Linked DNA regions of Arabidopsis thaliana. The protein of the gene in region 1 interacts with the protein of each later gene in a pairwise test. Each region holds a gene or a part of one and is shown in the gene's direction. Other genes may lie near its edges.

Region 1 (8,326 bases):
GCATCACTTGCTCTTTGCTGATGACAGTCTTTTCTTATGCAAAGCTTCAAGAGAGCAAAGTCTGGTCTTACAAAAGATTTTGAAGGTGTATGGTAATGCGACAGGTCAGACTATTAATTTGAACAAGTCTTCAATTACTTTTGGTGAAAAGGTAGATGAGCAATTGAAAGGTACTATCCGGACTTGTTTGGGAATTTTCACTGAGGGTGGGGCTGGGACCTATCTGGGGCTTCCAGAATGCTTTAGTGGGTCAAAGGTTGATATGTTGCATTACTTGAAGGATAGATTAAAAGAGAAACTGGATGTTTGGTTCACCAGATGCCTTTCACAGGGGGGTAAAGAGGTATTACTTAAATCTGTTGCTTTAGCGATGCCGGTTTTCGCTATGTCGTGTTTCAAGCTTCCCATTACTACTTGTGAAAATTTGGAGAGTGCAATGGCATCTTTTTGGTGGGATTCTTGTGATCATTCAAGGAAGATTCATTGGCAAAGTTGGGAAAGGCTGTGTTTACCAAAAGATAGTGGTGGTTTGGGGTTTCGTGATATCCAGTCTTTCAACCAGGCTCTTCTAGCGAAGCAAGCGTGGAGGCTGCTTCATTTCCCGGATTGCCTCCTTTCTAGGTTGTTGAAAAGTAGATATTTTGATGCTACTGATTTTCTGGATGCCGCTTTGAGTCAGAGACCTTCCTTTGGTTGGAGAAGCATTCTTTTTGGCAGAGAGCTTTTGTCTAAAGGTCTTCAAAAAAGGGTAGGTGATGGTGCCTCTTTGTTTGTATGGATAGATCCCTGGATAGATGATAATGGTTTTAGGGCCCCTTGGAGAAAAAACCTGATATATGATGTGACTTTAAAAGTTAAAGCCTTGTTAAACCCAAGAACGGGGTTTTGGGATGAAGAGGTTCTTCATGACTTATTCCTGCCAGAAGACATTCTCAGAATTAAAGCTATTAAACCAGTGATATCTCAAGCAGATTTTTTCGTTTGGAAGTTAAATAAAAGTGGAGATTTTTCTGTCAAGTCTGCCTATTGGTTAGCTTATCAAACAAAGAGCCAAAATCTGAGAAGCGAAGTCTCTATGCAGCCTTCTACTCTAGGGTTGAAAACTCAGGTGTGGAACCTTCAGACTGATCCAAAGATTAAGATTTTTCTTTGGAAGGTGCTTAGTGGTATTCTTCCGGTTGCCGAGAACTTGAATGGTAGAGGAATGTCGTTGATACCACATGTCAGGTCTGTGGTGAGCTTGGGGAATCGACGAATCATACCTTGTTTCTATGCCCACTCTCTAGACAAATTTGGGCTCTTTCTGATTATCCTTTTCCTCCTGATGGTTTTAGTAACGGCTCTATTTATTCCAACATCAATCATCTCTTGGAGAACAAAGATAATAAAGAATGGCCTATTAACCTCAGGAAAATTTTTCCATGGATTTTGTGGAGGATTTGGAAAAATAGGAACTCTTTCATCTTTGAGGGGATAAGCTACCCAGCTACTGATACAGTGATAAAGATTAGGGATGATGTGGTGGAATGGTTTGAAGCTCAATGCTTAGATGGTGAGGGTTCTGCCCTTAATCCTCCCCTGAGTAATGGTGTTCATTTTGTAGGCAGTGTATCGGAGAATTTATGGATTAAACCTCCAGCGAATTGGGTTAAATGTAACATTGGGGCTTCTTGGTAAAAAAGAAACAATTTTGCTGGAGGGGCTTGGGTTTTAAGAGATCAGGATGGTATAGTGTTGTTACACAGTAGACGTTCTTTTGCTCCTATCTCTAGCAAGGCTGATGCTTTGCTCAGATGTCTCCTATGGGCTATGGAGAGTATGGCCAGTCATAAAATTGATAATATTATCTTTGCCTTTCAAGATAAGTCTCTGATTGGTGCAGTGTTGAGACCAAGGGCGTGGCCTTCTTTTAAAGCTCAGAGTGTGGCTTTAAATAGATCATAGTTACCTTTTTTGGTGTGGAAGGTGGAATTGGAATTTTCTGCTGCAAACAGAGGAGCAAACCTCATCGCCCAAAGTGTTACGGAGGCGTCTCGGTCTCAATCCTATGTGGCTGTGGGGCATCCTTATTGGATGAATGGTGTGTTTGTTGAAGAAAGAGGTTTGTATTCTGTTTGATAGTGAGAAGTCGTTTTGGTGTTGATGCTCAGTGTTTGAGATCAATGGTTTGTATATGGAGGGTTTGGCTTATGTGGTGCTCGATGGTTCAGAGCTTATTCTTTTTTGTTTAGACCACTTTTGAATATGTTGGAGTTGGGTCTTGTGGTAGGCTAACTTGTTCGCTTCACTTTGGTTTAGTTTAGCCTTGTAATCGGTGGTTTCATATTCTGAAACTTTTAATTTTCTAATATAATCCAGATGACAAAAAAAAAAGGTATTTTTGTGAGTACCCAACTTCAAACTTGACCTAAAAATAAAGTAATAAAAAAAGGAGCAAACAAAGAGGATAATCATCTAATTATTTGACTCAATAATATGCATAGATGTAAGACCTCAGTTTGGTTGCTAGAATAGCTCTGTGTTATTGAATATCGAATTTGTCATTTGCTACGAACTTGATCATGATAACCCTTACTTTTAAAGTTTTTCCTAACAGTAATTTTCCTCAGTTTATCAAAAACACCACCGTTAAATGGTAGGACTGGTCCAAATGATTATAGAACTTCCAATGAGAAAAAATATATGATATTTGACAATTATAATTTACTATCAATAAAAGTAAGTTTCTTTTTAGTTTATTATAATCATATATATTTCAGTTGTATTCAATTTTATAATGCTAAAAGCCTAAAACTATAAAACCGTTCCAAAATAAATAAATGAGAGTTTTGGAATTTTCATTATTTTTAAAAAGAAACAAATCTCAGTAAAAAAAAATACAAAAAAGAAAATATAATAAAGAAATGTAGATTTACGAACAGTGCAAATGCATTTTGTTAAAATGCTATTTCAGCAAATAAAGAAACTAAAATAAGATACTGGGCCTAGTTACACAAAAGAAAAAAGAAAATAATACTGGGCCTTAAAATCTATGATTTTTATATATCTGGGCCTGTAAATACAGAAAGATTGCGTCCTTTAACATTCTTTCCTTGGTCAGATGAAAAGGAAACAAATCATTTATTAACAAAACCAAGAAATGGGAAATAACAATAAAAGCACTTCCCTCGCTCAAGTCAATTTAATATTTCCAAAAAAAGCAATAAAATCTGCCGTTTCGTTTTTTCCTTTCTCATTCAATTCAAGAAGAAGAAGAAAATCTCCGCCCAAAAAGTTTCTTCCTTTGAAGTCTTTAAGCCCTAATCTATCACTGTCTGTGAATCAACGCCTCCCTGCGTTTGTTTCTCAGTTGAAAAAAAAAGATAATGATCGCAAAAAACTTCCTCCTTTTGCTCTGTTTCATTGCCTTGGTGAACGTTGAATCGAGCCCTGATGAGGCGGTCATGATAGCTCTGAGAGACTCCTTGAAGCTATCTGGAAATCCAAACTGGTCCGGGTCGGATCCTTGTAAGTGGTCTATGTTCATAAAATGCGACGCAAGCAATCGGGTCACCGCGATCCAAATCGGGGACAGAGGAATCTCAGGAAAGCTACCTCCTGATCTCGGAAAGCTAACATCTTTGACGAAGTTCGAGGTCATGAGGAACCGTTTAACAGGACCAATACCGAGTCTTGCTGGGTTGAAATCGTTGGTAACTGTGTATGCTAATGACAATGATTTCACTTCTGTCCCTGAGGATTTCTTCTCTGGTTTGAGTTCTCTTCAGCATGTTTCTCTGGATAACAATCCTTTTGATTCTTGGGTGATACCTCCGAGTTTGGAAAACGCGACTTCCCTTGTAGATTTCTCTGCTGTCAACTGCAATCTTTCCGGGAAGATCCCGGATTATCTCTTCGAGGGGAAAGATTTCTCTAGTTTGACGACTCTGAAACTGTCTTATAACTCGCTTGTATGTGAATTTCCCATGAATTTCTCCGACTCACGTGTTCAAGTTCTGATGCTTAACGGGCAAAAGGGAAGGGAGAAGCTTCATGGGTCAATTTCGTTTCTGCAAAAGATGACTTCTTTGACCAATGTTACGCTGCAAGGGAACAGCTTCTCCGGTCCTTTACCAGACTTTTCTGGTTTAGTCTCGTTGAAAAGTTTCAATGTTAGGGAGAATCAGCTTTCGGGTCTCGTTCCCTCTTCTTTGTTTGAGCTGCAATCTCTTTCTGATGTTGCTTTAGGTAATAACTTGCTTCAAGGACCAACTCCAAACTTCACGGCTCCTGACATTAAGCCTGATCTGAATGGTCTCAATAGTTTCTGCTTAGATACTCCAGGTACTTCTTGTGATCCCCGTGTCAACACGTTGCTTTCAATCGTTGAAGCCTTTGGTTACCCGGTGAATTTTGCGGAGAAATGGAAAGGAAATGATCCTTGTAGTGGATGGGTAGGGATCACTTGTACTGGAACTGATATCACAGTTATCAACTTCAAAAACTTGGGGCTCAACGGCACTATATCTCCACGATTTGCTGATTTTGCGTCTCTTCGTGTTATTAATCTCTCTCAGAATAATCTTAATGGTACTATTCCACAAGAGCTCGCTAAGTTGAGTAACTTGAAAACACTGGATGTTTCGAAGAATCGGTTGTGTGGTGAAGTACCTCGTTTTAACACAACTATTGTTAACACGACTGGGAATTTTGAGGACTGTCCTAATGGCAATGCTGGAAAGAAAGCATCTAGTAATGCTGGGAAAATTGTTGGTTCTGTTATTGGTATTTTGTTAGCTTTGCTTCTTATAGGGGTTGCTATTTTCTTTTTGGTCAAGAAAAAGATGCAATATCATAAGATGCATCCTCAACAACAATCTAGTGACCAAGATGCGTTCAAGATTACAATTGAGAATCTGTGTACTGGTGTTAGTGAAAGTGGATTCAGTGGTAATGACGCTCATCTAGGAGAAGCTGGAAATATTGTGATCTCAATACAAGTTTTGAGGGATGCTACATATAATTTCGATGAGAAGAATATACTTGGGAGAGGAGGATTTGGAATAGTTTACAAGGGAGAGTTGCATGATGGAACAAAGATTGCGGTTAAGAGAATGGAATCTTCGATTATAAGTGGAAAGGGTTTAGATGAGTTTAAATCAGAGATTGCTGTTCTTACTAGAGTTCGCCACCGAAATCTAGTGGTTCTTCATGGTTATTGCTTAGAAGGCAATGAGAGACTTCTTGTTTATCAGTACATGCCACAAGGGACATTAAGTAGGCATATTTTCTATTGGAAGGAAGAAGGGTTGAGGCCTCTCGAGTGGACTAGACGGTTGATTATTGCATTGGATGTGGCTAGAGGAGTTGAGTATTTGCATACTTTAGCACATCAAAGTTTCATACACAGAGATCTTAAACCTTCTAATATTCTTCTTGGAGATGACATGCATGCTAAAGTTGCTGATTTTGGTTTAGTCCGGCTTGCACCAGAAGGTACACAATCAATTGAGACCAAGATTGCTGGAACATTTGGTTATCTTGCACCAGAGTATGCAGGTATGGTTTTATGCTTATTTTGTATGTTGCTACTCGTTCTAAACTCACTAAATGTAAAATATTGAAATCTCTATGTACATTGCAGTGACCGGAAGAGTTACAACAAAGGTTGATGTTTACAGCTTTGGAGTCATCCTCATGGAGCTACTAACGGGTCGAAAAGCTCTTGATGTTGCACGATCTGAGGAAGAAGTACATCTTGCCACATGGTTTAGGAGAATGTTTATCAACAAAGGCTCATTCCCAAAGGCGATAGACGAAGCAATGGAGGTCAACGAAGAGACACTCAGAAGCATCAACATAGTAGCTGAGCTTGCCAATCAATGTAGCTCCAGGGAACCGCGAGATAGACCCGACATGAATCACGTTGTCAACGTGTTGGTCTCACTTGTTGTACAATGGAAACCCACAGAACGAAGCAGTGACTCGGAAGATATCTATGGAATTGATTACGACACTCCTCTTCCTCAACTTATTCTTGATTCGTGTTTTTTTGGAGATAATACTCTGACGAGCATACCTTCGCGACCTTCCGAGCTTGAAAGCACATTCAAATCAGGACAAGGGAGGTAAAATGTGTTAGAGAATTAGCTGGAACATGGAATGAGAAAGGTTTTGCTGTTGGATGAGTTCTTGTTTTAGGTTTGCGGATAGTGAATATATCTTGTTGGTTACCTTCCTTTTCAAGTTAGGGTGTCCTTTTCGCACGAATGGAACCCATATGCTTAAATTGGACACGTGTTTTGGTCTTTTGTCGTAGACTAGCTGGACACTTTCTAGATATTTAGAAGTTTAGGTTGGGCATTGGCATTGTCTCAAGAATTTATTTTGATTGATGTATCATTTGAGTCAAATGGTTTGACATATATAATTTTTTATTTTATAGTTTTCCCGAATTTCAACTGATTTCTTTTATGGTTTAAGACATTGTACATCACAATTTGTACATTTTTATTGTGCTTTACATCATATGCTACGTACATAAATGATCAGGCATCAAACTTTTTTTTTAGTTGTCTCCTACGAGTTGTCTCTACATGGAAACATTCAGGCCTTGTCTTATTTTTTAATACAGAAGAATGGAAAAAACACAACAAATTATCTCATTTAGCTTTCATGTAATCCATCAATTAATGGAGATTATACGGGGCTAATACAAATTTAGGCACATTTTGGGTCAAAAACAAAAAAATTGTATTGTCATCAACATTACTTAGTTTTATTCCATGCATGATGGAACTTTGGTTGAGGATTTCGATCCCTCACAAGGTAAATTCCATCATTTCTAACAACCCAACGACGCAGAGCACCACATCGGTCAATGTTGCCTGCTCTATATGCTATGAATTCTTTATAATATCGCATGTATAAGCCGTGTTTCAAAAGACAAGTCCATCTTGTTCTTCTTCCTAGCTTGTCTCCGAAACGGATTTGTTTTATTTCCTTAAATTATAAATTTGCTACGTCTAGATTGTCGTCTCTTGAATGACAATGATACTGGAGAACCAAACCGGGACCAAGCTCGTTCATAATTTCAATTGTGTTACGTTTACAAGACAGAACTGATACAAGCAATCCAAAATACGTCGCAATAACAAACATAAAAATTATAAAACGATTCATTTTTTGGGTAACATGAAAGTCCAATTTGAATTTAATGACACCAAAGTACAGTATCTATAGTTATTTTGTGTGGTTAGTATTTGACGATTTTCCTATGGCCTTAATGAATTAGTTAAATTGAAACACAAACATGTTAGTTAATAATAGATAATGTCTAAAAGTATTGTTGACTAATAAAAAAAGCCAAATGAATTCAACATTACAAATTATTAGTGATCCAAAAAAAACTAACAAAAACCAAAATTTAAGATATAACAAATTTTTTTGCAAGTATATTAATTTAATTCCGGACGAGACAATTTGGAAGAACTGATTTGAACATAACAAAATAACAGCAGCCCTTAGGCAAATGCATGTACATTAAGTTTAACTATAAATGACCTTTAGCGGACTAGATTTTAACATAATGAGTTTATAAAGAAGAAGAAGAAGAAGAAGATGAGATCGTTAAGACATTCGAGTTTCTGAAAAGATGACTGTAAGTCAGATCAAATTTCCAATTGCTCATGGATCTGTTATGACTTTCTCTAATCGTGCTCATTATTCCGGTTGAGAACGGGAATGGAGCGAAGAATGATGAGGCTGAATCCCAAAGAACATTGTAAAATCTCTCTTTTAGTGTTCTTGAATCTCGGAAAATAATTAGGTTTAGGTTTTCATATTTTTAGTTGATTTTGGTAGGTACCCGTTTTGTTACTGGAACCTCAGTGGTAACTATCAAGTACAAAGATTAGATTTTAATGGCTTCTGATATGGGAGGTATAATGCTCTCTACCTAGTTTCAGCTCTCTAGTTATCTTGTATATGATTGATACTCTTTGTTACTTTCTTGGTAGATAAAGCATGCATGCTTCATTGTTCAAAAGAGTGCTTGCTAATTTGCTATATAGATAAAAGATCCAGATTCTGGATGTGTAAAATTTATATGATGTTGTAATTCACTTGTAGAACAAGTGTATCTTTTAATAATCAGAAAATATTGTGTGGTCGTCAGATACACAACGACGTCTCTTTATGATTCTACGTCAGAAATTAACTGAAAGCATTGCAGTGATTTAATGATCAAAGTCAATGTTTTAGATCACGTGATTTGGTCGAAGATCATAAAAATCAAAAACCAAAGGAACGAAACTTGATTACTGTCTATTTCTGTTGTCGTTTGTGT
Region 2 (6,675 bases), on another chromosome or scaffold:
TTGGTAGGCGATTAATTTATAGAACTTAATTTTGCCTAGATGAAGAATTCAATAACATTCTATGTTCCTAAACCCAATACAAATCCTTTTATTCATTCGTTAGATTCAGTTTGGATAACTGTAGTATCATGTTATCACGATATTAAATGCGATCAGGTCCAATAGCTTTTCCTTGCACATCATATTTTCTGCATATTAGTCAAACTGTATTTGCATCACGCATTTTTTTCTTGTTAAATGTATCTTTCATATGTCAGCTAAACAAAGACAACAAATGCGAAACTTTCAATTATACTGTACAATAATTTGGATTACATTTAAAGTGGTAGTTGCAAGAATATTAATAGAAATACTTTCGGCATTTAAAATAATCTTGCTGTGAATGTCTACTCGTTGAACTTTGAACCAAAAAAAAAAAAAAAATCTAAGAAGTATAATAATTAGAGACTAATAGAGTCAATAACTCATTCTTTAAAATATATAGAACTAGCTGGAAACAATAGATTTGAATGGTACTACTTAGAATCCAGCAGGGTTCTTTAAAGTCATCATGAAGCAATGCAAAGTCTACCACTCTTGGCGTAATTGTTTTTTGGCACAAAAGTTAATGCAAAAGTCTTGATTATCGCAATTTTTCTTATGATGCCTTTGGTTTCTAACATCAGAGGATAAAAAAAGAATTTCACGAACAAAAATTGTGAATTTTGATATGCATAGAGGCGAGCTATAGACTCCCTAACGTGCTATTGCGTCGAGCCGTGGTGCTTACCTAGTTACACAGTATAACAAGCCTGCTTTAGTTTTATTTCATAAACCAATATAATGTAAATCACTTACTATGGCTTTTCGTATTTAGTAAACAATTTTACATTTATAATTTTCAGTTGACCTAAATTAAAAAATATGTACTACAATTAATCAATAGTTACTACGTATTACTAAAGAATCAATATTTGTTATGTGGTAATCAATGATGTCACGTCAATTCTTGACATTATTTTGTACGATTTAGAAAGCTACCGTCTACTAAAATATGTGCATAATTTAACGTTCATTATTTTAGAAAACAGTTTGCTTTGTCTATTTTTCTGAGTGTCAACTCTCATTTACAACTCATCAGTAAATATATAGATAACAAGTCACAAGTGTCTCCCATAATGATTAAGTTAGGTTGACTTAAAACATGATTAAGGTCAGACACACACACACATACATATATAGAAAGCTTTCAGTTTTTAGAACTAGTTAGTGACAATAAAAAGCCTATTGGTGAAACATCAGCACTTGTAACAACTTTTAAGTATATTTATTCAAATACATCATAATAGATTTTTGATCAAAAGAGATCATCATGTTCCTAAAAGTAATACTTGACTTGAATTTTCATGGCTTGGCACAAACTGAGAGATAAATGTCTTTTTTCAATCATTAAATATCTTAAAATATATATATATATATATATATATATATATCTTAAACATGAATGTTTTTGTTTTGGTATAAACGTGAATTATTCATGAACTGTTAATAGGTTTCAATGTCAATTGGATCGAATTATTGTATATATCTCTTGCTTGAAACTATATGTCGTGTGTCTTCATTTTTTTGTTTTCCTAATTGAATACTTTATACATGCATGTAGTATTATTATACAAAACCAAGATAATTTTTTTTAATGCTTCTGTTGATGATCTGAGTAATTTTGGACATATCTAAGAGTTAAGGGTGTAAAGTGCAATTTTCAGCAAATAAAACGTGGTTCCCGCTAACCCATGTTATCATTTTTGGTTTCAACCTTCAGCAAACTTAATTAATATTTGGTTATGAACTTTATTAAAATTTTGCAAGATTATCATAAGATTGTCGTATAAAGAGTGCTGAATCTTGACTTAATTTCATAAAACTGCTGATCTAAAATCGACATCTATGTAGTAAGTTCTGATCGGTTTGCTTGAACATATACGGTTGAGCTAGGACAATTATTCTTTGATTTATTACTTTAAATACTAGTATCAATTTTATTCACAAATTTATTTTTGTAATTTTTTTATACAAGCCTTTAATTTACCTTTTTTTTATTCACACATTACATGGCAATCACTTAATCACCAAAAACCGTATAGGATTAGGATCGTAATTTGCAAGTTATTAAGAAGATTTGGCAGATTACATCTCTAATTCAATAATGTTGTTACGTCACATAACTTCTTAAATAATTGATAAACTCTCTTAAATACGAACTTAATTGGTCTAGCCGGAATCTAAAGTCAACCCTAAACTCCTCCTTCTTCCTTTTAAGAGACACACAAGAGACAACCTTTCTTCTCCGTATCTCTCTTTCTCTCTCTCAGCTCTCTCAAACATGTCAGGAGCAATAACATGCTCTGCGGCCGATCTCGCCACCCTACTTGGCCCCAACGCCACGGCGGCGGCCGACTACATTTGCGGCCAATTAGGCACCGTTAACAACAAGTTCACCGATGCAGCCTTCGCCATAGACAACACCTACCTCCTCTTCTCTGCCTACCTTGTCTTCGCCATGCAGCTCGGCTTCGCTATGCTTTGTGCTGGTTCTGTTAGAGCCAAGAATACGATGAACATCATGCTTACCAATGTCCTTGACGCTGCAGCCGGAGGACTCTTCTACTATCTCTTTGGTTACGCCTTTGCCTTTGGAGGATCCTCCGAAGGGTTCATTGGAAGACACAACTTTGCTCTTAGAGACTTTCCGACTCCCACAGCTGATTACTCTTTCTTCCTCTACCAATGGGCGTTCGCAATCGCGGCCGCTGGAATCACAAGTGGTTCGATCGCAGAGAGGACTCAGTTCGTGGCTTACTTGATATACTCTTCTTTCTTAACCGGATTTGTTTACCCGGTTGTCTCTCACTGGTTTTGGTCCCCGGATGGATGGGCCAGTCCCTTTCGTTCAGCGGATGATCGTTTGTTTAGCACCGGAGCCATTGACTTTGCTGGCTCCGGTGTTGTTCACATGGTTGGTGGCATAGCAGGTTTATGGGGTGCTCTTATTGAAGGTCCTCGTCGTGGTCGGTTCGAGAAAGGTGGTCGCGCTATTGCTCTGCGCGGCCACTCTGCCTCGCTAGTAGTCTTAGGAACCTTCCTCCTATGGTTTGGATGGTATGGTTTCAACCCCGGTTCCTTCACTAAGATACTCGTTCCGTATAATTCTGGTTCCAACTACGGCCAATGGAGCGGAATCGGCCGTACAGCGGTTAACACCACACTCTCAGGATGCACAGCAGCTCTAACCACACTCTTTGGTAAACGTCTCCTATCAGGCCACTGGAACGTAACGGACGTTTGCAACGGGTTACTCGGTGGGTTTGCGGCCATAACCGCAGGTTGCTCCGTCGTAGAGCCATGGGCAGCGATTGTGTGCGGCTTCATGGCTTCTGTCGTCCTTATCGGATGCAACAAGCTCGCGGAGCTTGTACAATATGATGATCCACTCGAGGCAGCCCAACTACATGGAGGGTGTGGCGCGTGGGGGTTGATATTCGTAGGATTGTTTGCCAAAGAGAAGTATCTAAACGAGGTTTATGGCGCCACCCCGGGAAGGCCATATGGACTATTTATGGGCGGAGGAGGGAAGCTGTTGGGAGCACAATTGGTTCAAATACTTGTGATTGTAGGATGGGTTAGTGCCACAATGGGAACACTCTTCTTCATCCTCAAAAGGCTCAATCTGCTTAGGATCTCGGAGCAGCATGAAATGCAAGGGATGGATATGACACGTCACGGTGGCTTTGCTTATATCTACCATGATAATGATGATGAGTCTCATAGAGTGGATCCTGGATCTCCTTTCCCTCGATCAGCTACTCCTCCTCGCGTTTAATTTTCAACTTTTTGGTAATTTATTACCGTTTAAGTATTGTTTGGGTTTTGGTTTTGAAATATAAATATTTGGATGTTTTGGTTTGTTTTAAGTGACCTATCGTCTTTTTGTGTTTATAAGTGTTTTAGTTTATGTTTTTTTTTTTTTTCTTGAATTTTAATTTTACATGCCTCGGCTAATGTTTATGCTATTTCTTAGAAATTTATATATACAACTTTTGGTGATCCAAAAAGGAGAGTTATGCATATACTGTATACAACTTTGCTTAGGTTTTTGTTCTGCCGACGGCATTAGGAAATTGGAGTACACAAAAGTTGTTCTTAGAATAATATAAATTCTGAAAAATCATTTGTGTACCATTTCGTACCAAAAGCAGAACTTAGTCATTCCCTTATGTACACGTAAAGCGATTTTTTCCAATTAGTTAACTAGCCACGCTTAGGTACACGTAGATATTATCTTTTACTTGAACGATGTTGGTTAATAAATAATACTAGAAGAAATATGACATGTCATTACATCTATGTAACTGGTCACTTGTTTAGAACTATTGAACTAAGCCTAATGGGTTTTATTAGCCTAACAATTGTTGCTATTAATCGTACAAACTAAAATTAAAATATAAATCAAATTCTTGCGTCCTCGATAACTTTAAACAAAGGAGTATGACCCATATTTTGTGGTTGATAAATTTTAGCACCTAATATTTCAATAGTATTTTTTATTTATTTCAAATTCTGCTAAACAAAAATTTTTATAACATATATTCCTTGTTTGTATACACTTTCGAGACCTGTAGAATCATGGAATTACGATGCAATTCCAGTAGCTTATACCTTGCACATCATCTTTTTGTGCATATTAGTCGTCAAACTGTATTTAAATATTCTCAAACGTATATTTCATATGTCACCCAAACAAAGACAGAACATTGTACAAGAATTTTGATTACCTTTAACGGGTCGTAGTAAGAAAAAATATTAAAATAATTACGAACCAGTTAAATATTCTTGCCCGTATAGTTTAGACTTAGAGTTTTATTTTATTTTAATTATCTATCGGTAATCCGACATTTTACCACCCAACTAATTTCTTAGAGTGATTATAGTCGTCAAGTACTAGTGTATTCACCAAATTTTCTAATAATAAAGAAAAAAAATATAACACTATTTCGACTAGGTAAATAACAATTGATGTAGATAATTCAATGTTTTGTAATGAATCTTTTCTTGTTCTAGACCGACAAGGCAACGCTTCCTAGAATGGGAATCGCTAAACCACTACCACTTGATTTATATATTTGTTTACTACTTAGAATCTAAGATGGTTCTTTAAGATCCTCTAGCATTGCAAATCAACCAGTATTGAGTTAAATTGTTTTGGCAAATAGCCAAATATGTTAATGCAATTATTATGATTATCTATAGAGTTTTTTTTATGATGTTCTTGGTTATTAAACACTCAATCACTATTATAGAACATAAAAAGTAATTTCACGAACAAATATTTTATAGTCTGATATGCATAGAGGATAGCTAGAGACGCCGCAATGCGCCGTTGCATAATTTCATAAAACAGAAAACGTCCCAATGTGGCTTTTCGTATTTAGTAAATTTTTAGTTCTTATAGTTAATTGTCAGTTGACCTAAACTAAAATATAATATGCACTATAATTAATCAGTAAATTAAACGTATTATCAAATAATTAATTTGTGTTATGTGGTAATCAATGATGTCAGGTTACTCTGTATGATTTTAAAAGCTCCCGTTGCAATTAAAATATTTATCGTTCGTCGACGACATTAGATTAAAAAAAAAGTTTGGTTTTGTCTATTTTCCTGAGTGTCAAATCCCAATATTAATGTATTCTAAATCGTATACTTCTTCGTTTTCCATCAGCTAATTTGTAATCTAGTAAACTTATTTATTCTCCTTCGTACGTATATATTCACTAGTGAATTTACAAGTATGTCTTATAATGATTAAGTTTACATATAGGCATAGTTGGAACATTACTTATTGCTACAATTTTATCTATAAACTATACTCATTCTTATTCGACCATTGTGGTTGCTAATATATAGAATCACATTAAACGCCATTGATTTGTTGAATTTTAAGATCGCAAGTGAAATTTTCAACTAATAAAACGTGGTTCCCGCTAAACCATGTTATCATTTGCAGTTTCGTCAGCAATTATATTAATACTTTACAAGTTCATTATATTTAAGATTTTCGTATTAAGAATGCTGAATTTTGACCTGATTCCCAAAAAAAGAGTTGCTGATCTACAACTAGCAAGGTGCCACAAATTGATTTGCTAGAAACCCTAGAAGTACTAATTTTGTTTATATAATTCTATTAAAATAGAAATTAGAAGATACTCAGGTACATGTAAACGTTTTTTCCCCGAAAGTAAAAGCACGAATGAGCTTCCCTTTCGTGTGAGGTGGTGTGACAGTGTGAGTCGAAAACGGCGACCAACTCTCTACGGGAATCTTCTTAGATTCCTTGGTCAAATATGTTTTGCTTACATATGCTACAATTGAATAGATCATATTTTTTATTTTTAATATCTTTTTGCAATATTATAATGTCGTCATTCATATTTTGGGTTAAATTTGCTTCCATCAGCTTGCTTAGATTGCTAAAAGAAGCATGTGATAAGGGAATTTAAACTCCCTCTCTCTCTTTTTTTATAATAAGAAACTATTGCGTTTGATACCAAATAAAAAGTACATGCCAATCACTAAATTTCCAAAACCGTATAAGATTCTCGTATATTGCAAGTAGTTTATAAGATTTGTTAGATTCCA

Evidence for each region.
Region 2: the proteins of AT1G24650 (region 1) and AMT1;3 interact in a protein complementation assay, tested with the Arabidopsis thaliana proteins (one large-scale study listed by BioGRID).

The regions. Positions count from the first base shown.
Region 1 is NC_003070.9:8,731,205-8,739,530, forward strand, and holds AT1G24650 (Leucine-rich repeat protein kinase family protein), read left to right. Parts: upstream 1-3,365; coding exon 3,366-5,538; intron 5,539-5,623; coding exon 5,624-6,111; downstream 6,112-8,326. UniProt on the Arabidopsis thaliana protein: Involved in auxin signal transduction and cell expansion and proliferation regulation.
Region 2 is NC_003074.8:8,803,042-8,809,716, reverse strand, and holds AMT1;3 (ammonium transporter 1;3), read left to right. Parts: upstream 1-2,256; 5' UTR 2,257-2,362; coding exon 2,363-3,859; 3' UTR 3,860-4,198; downstream 4,199-6,675.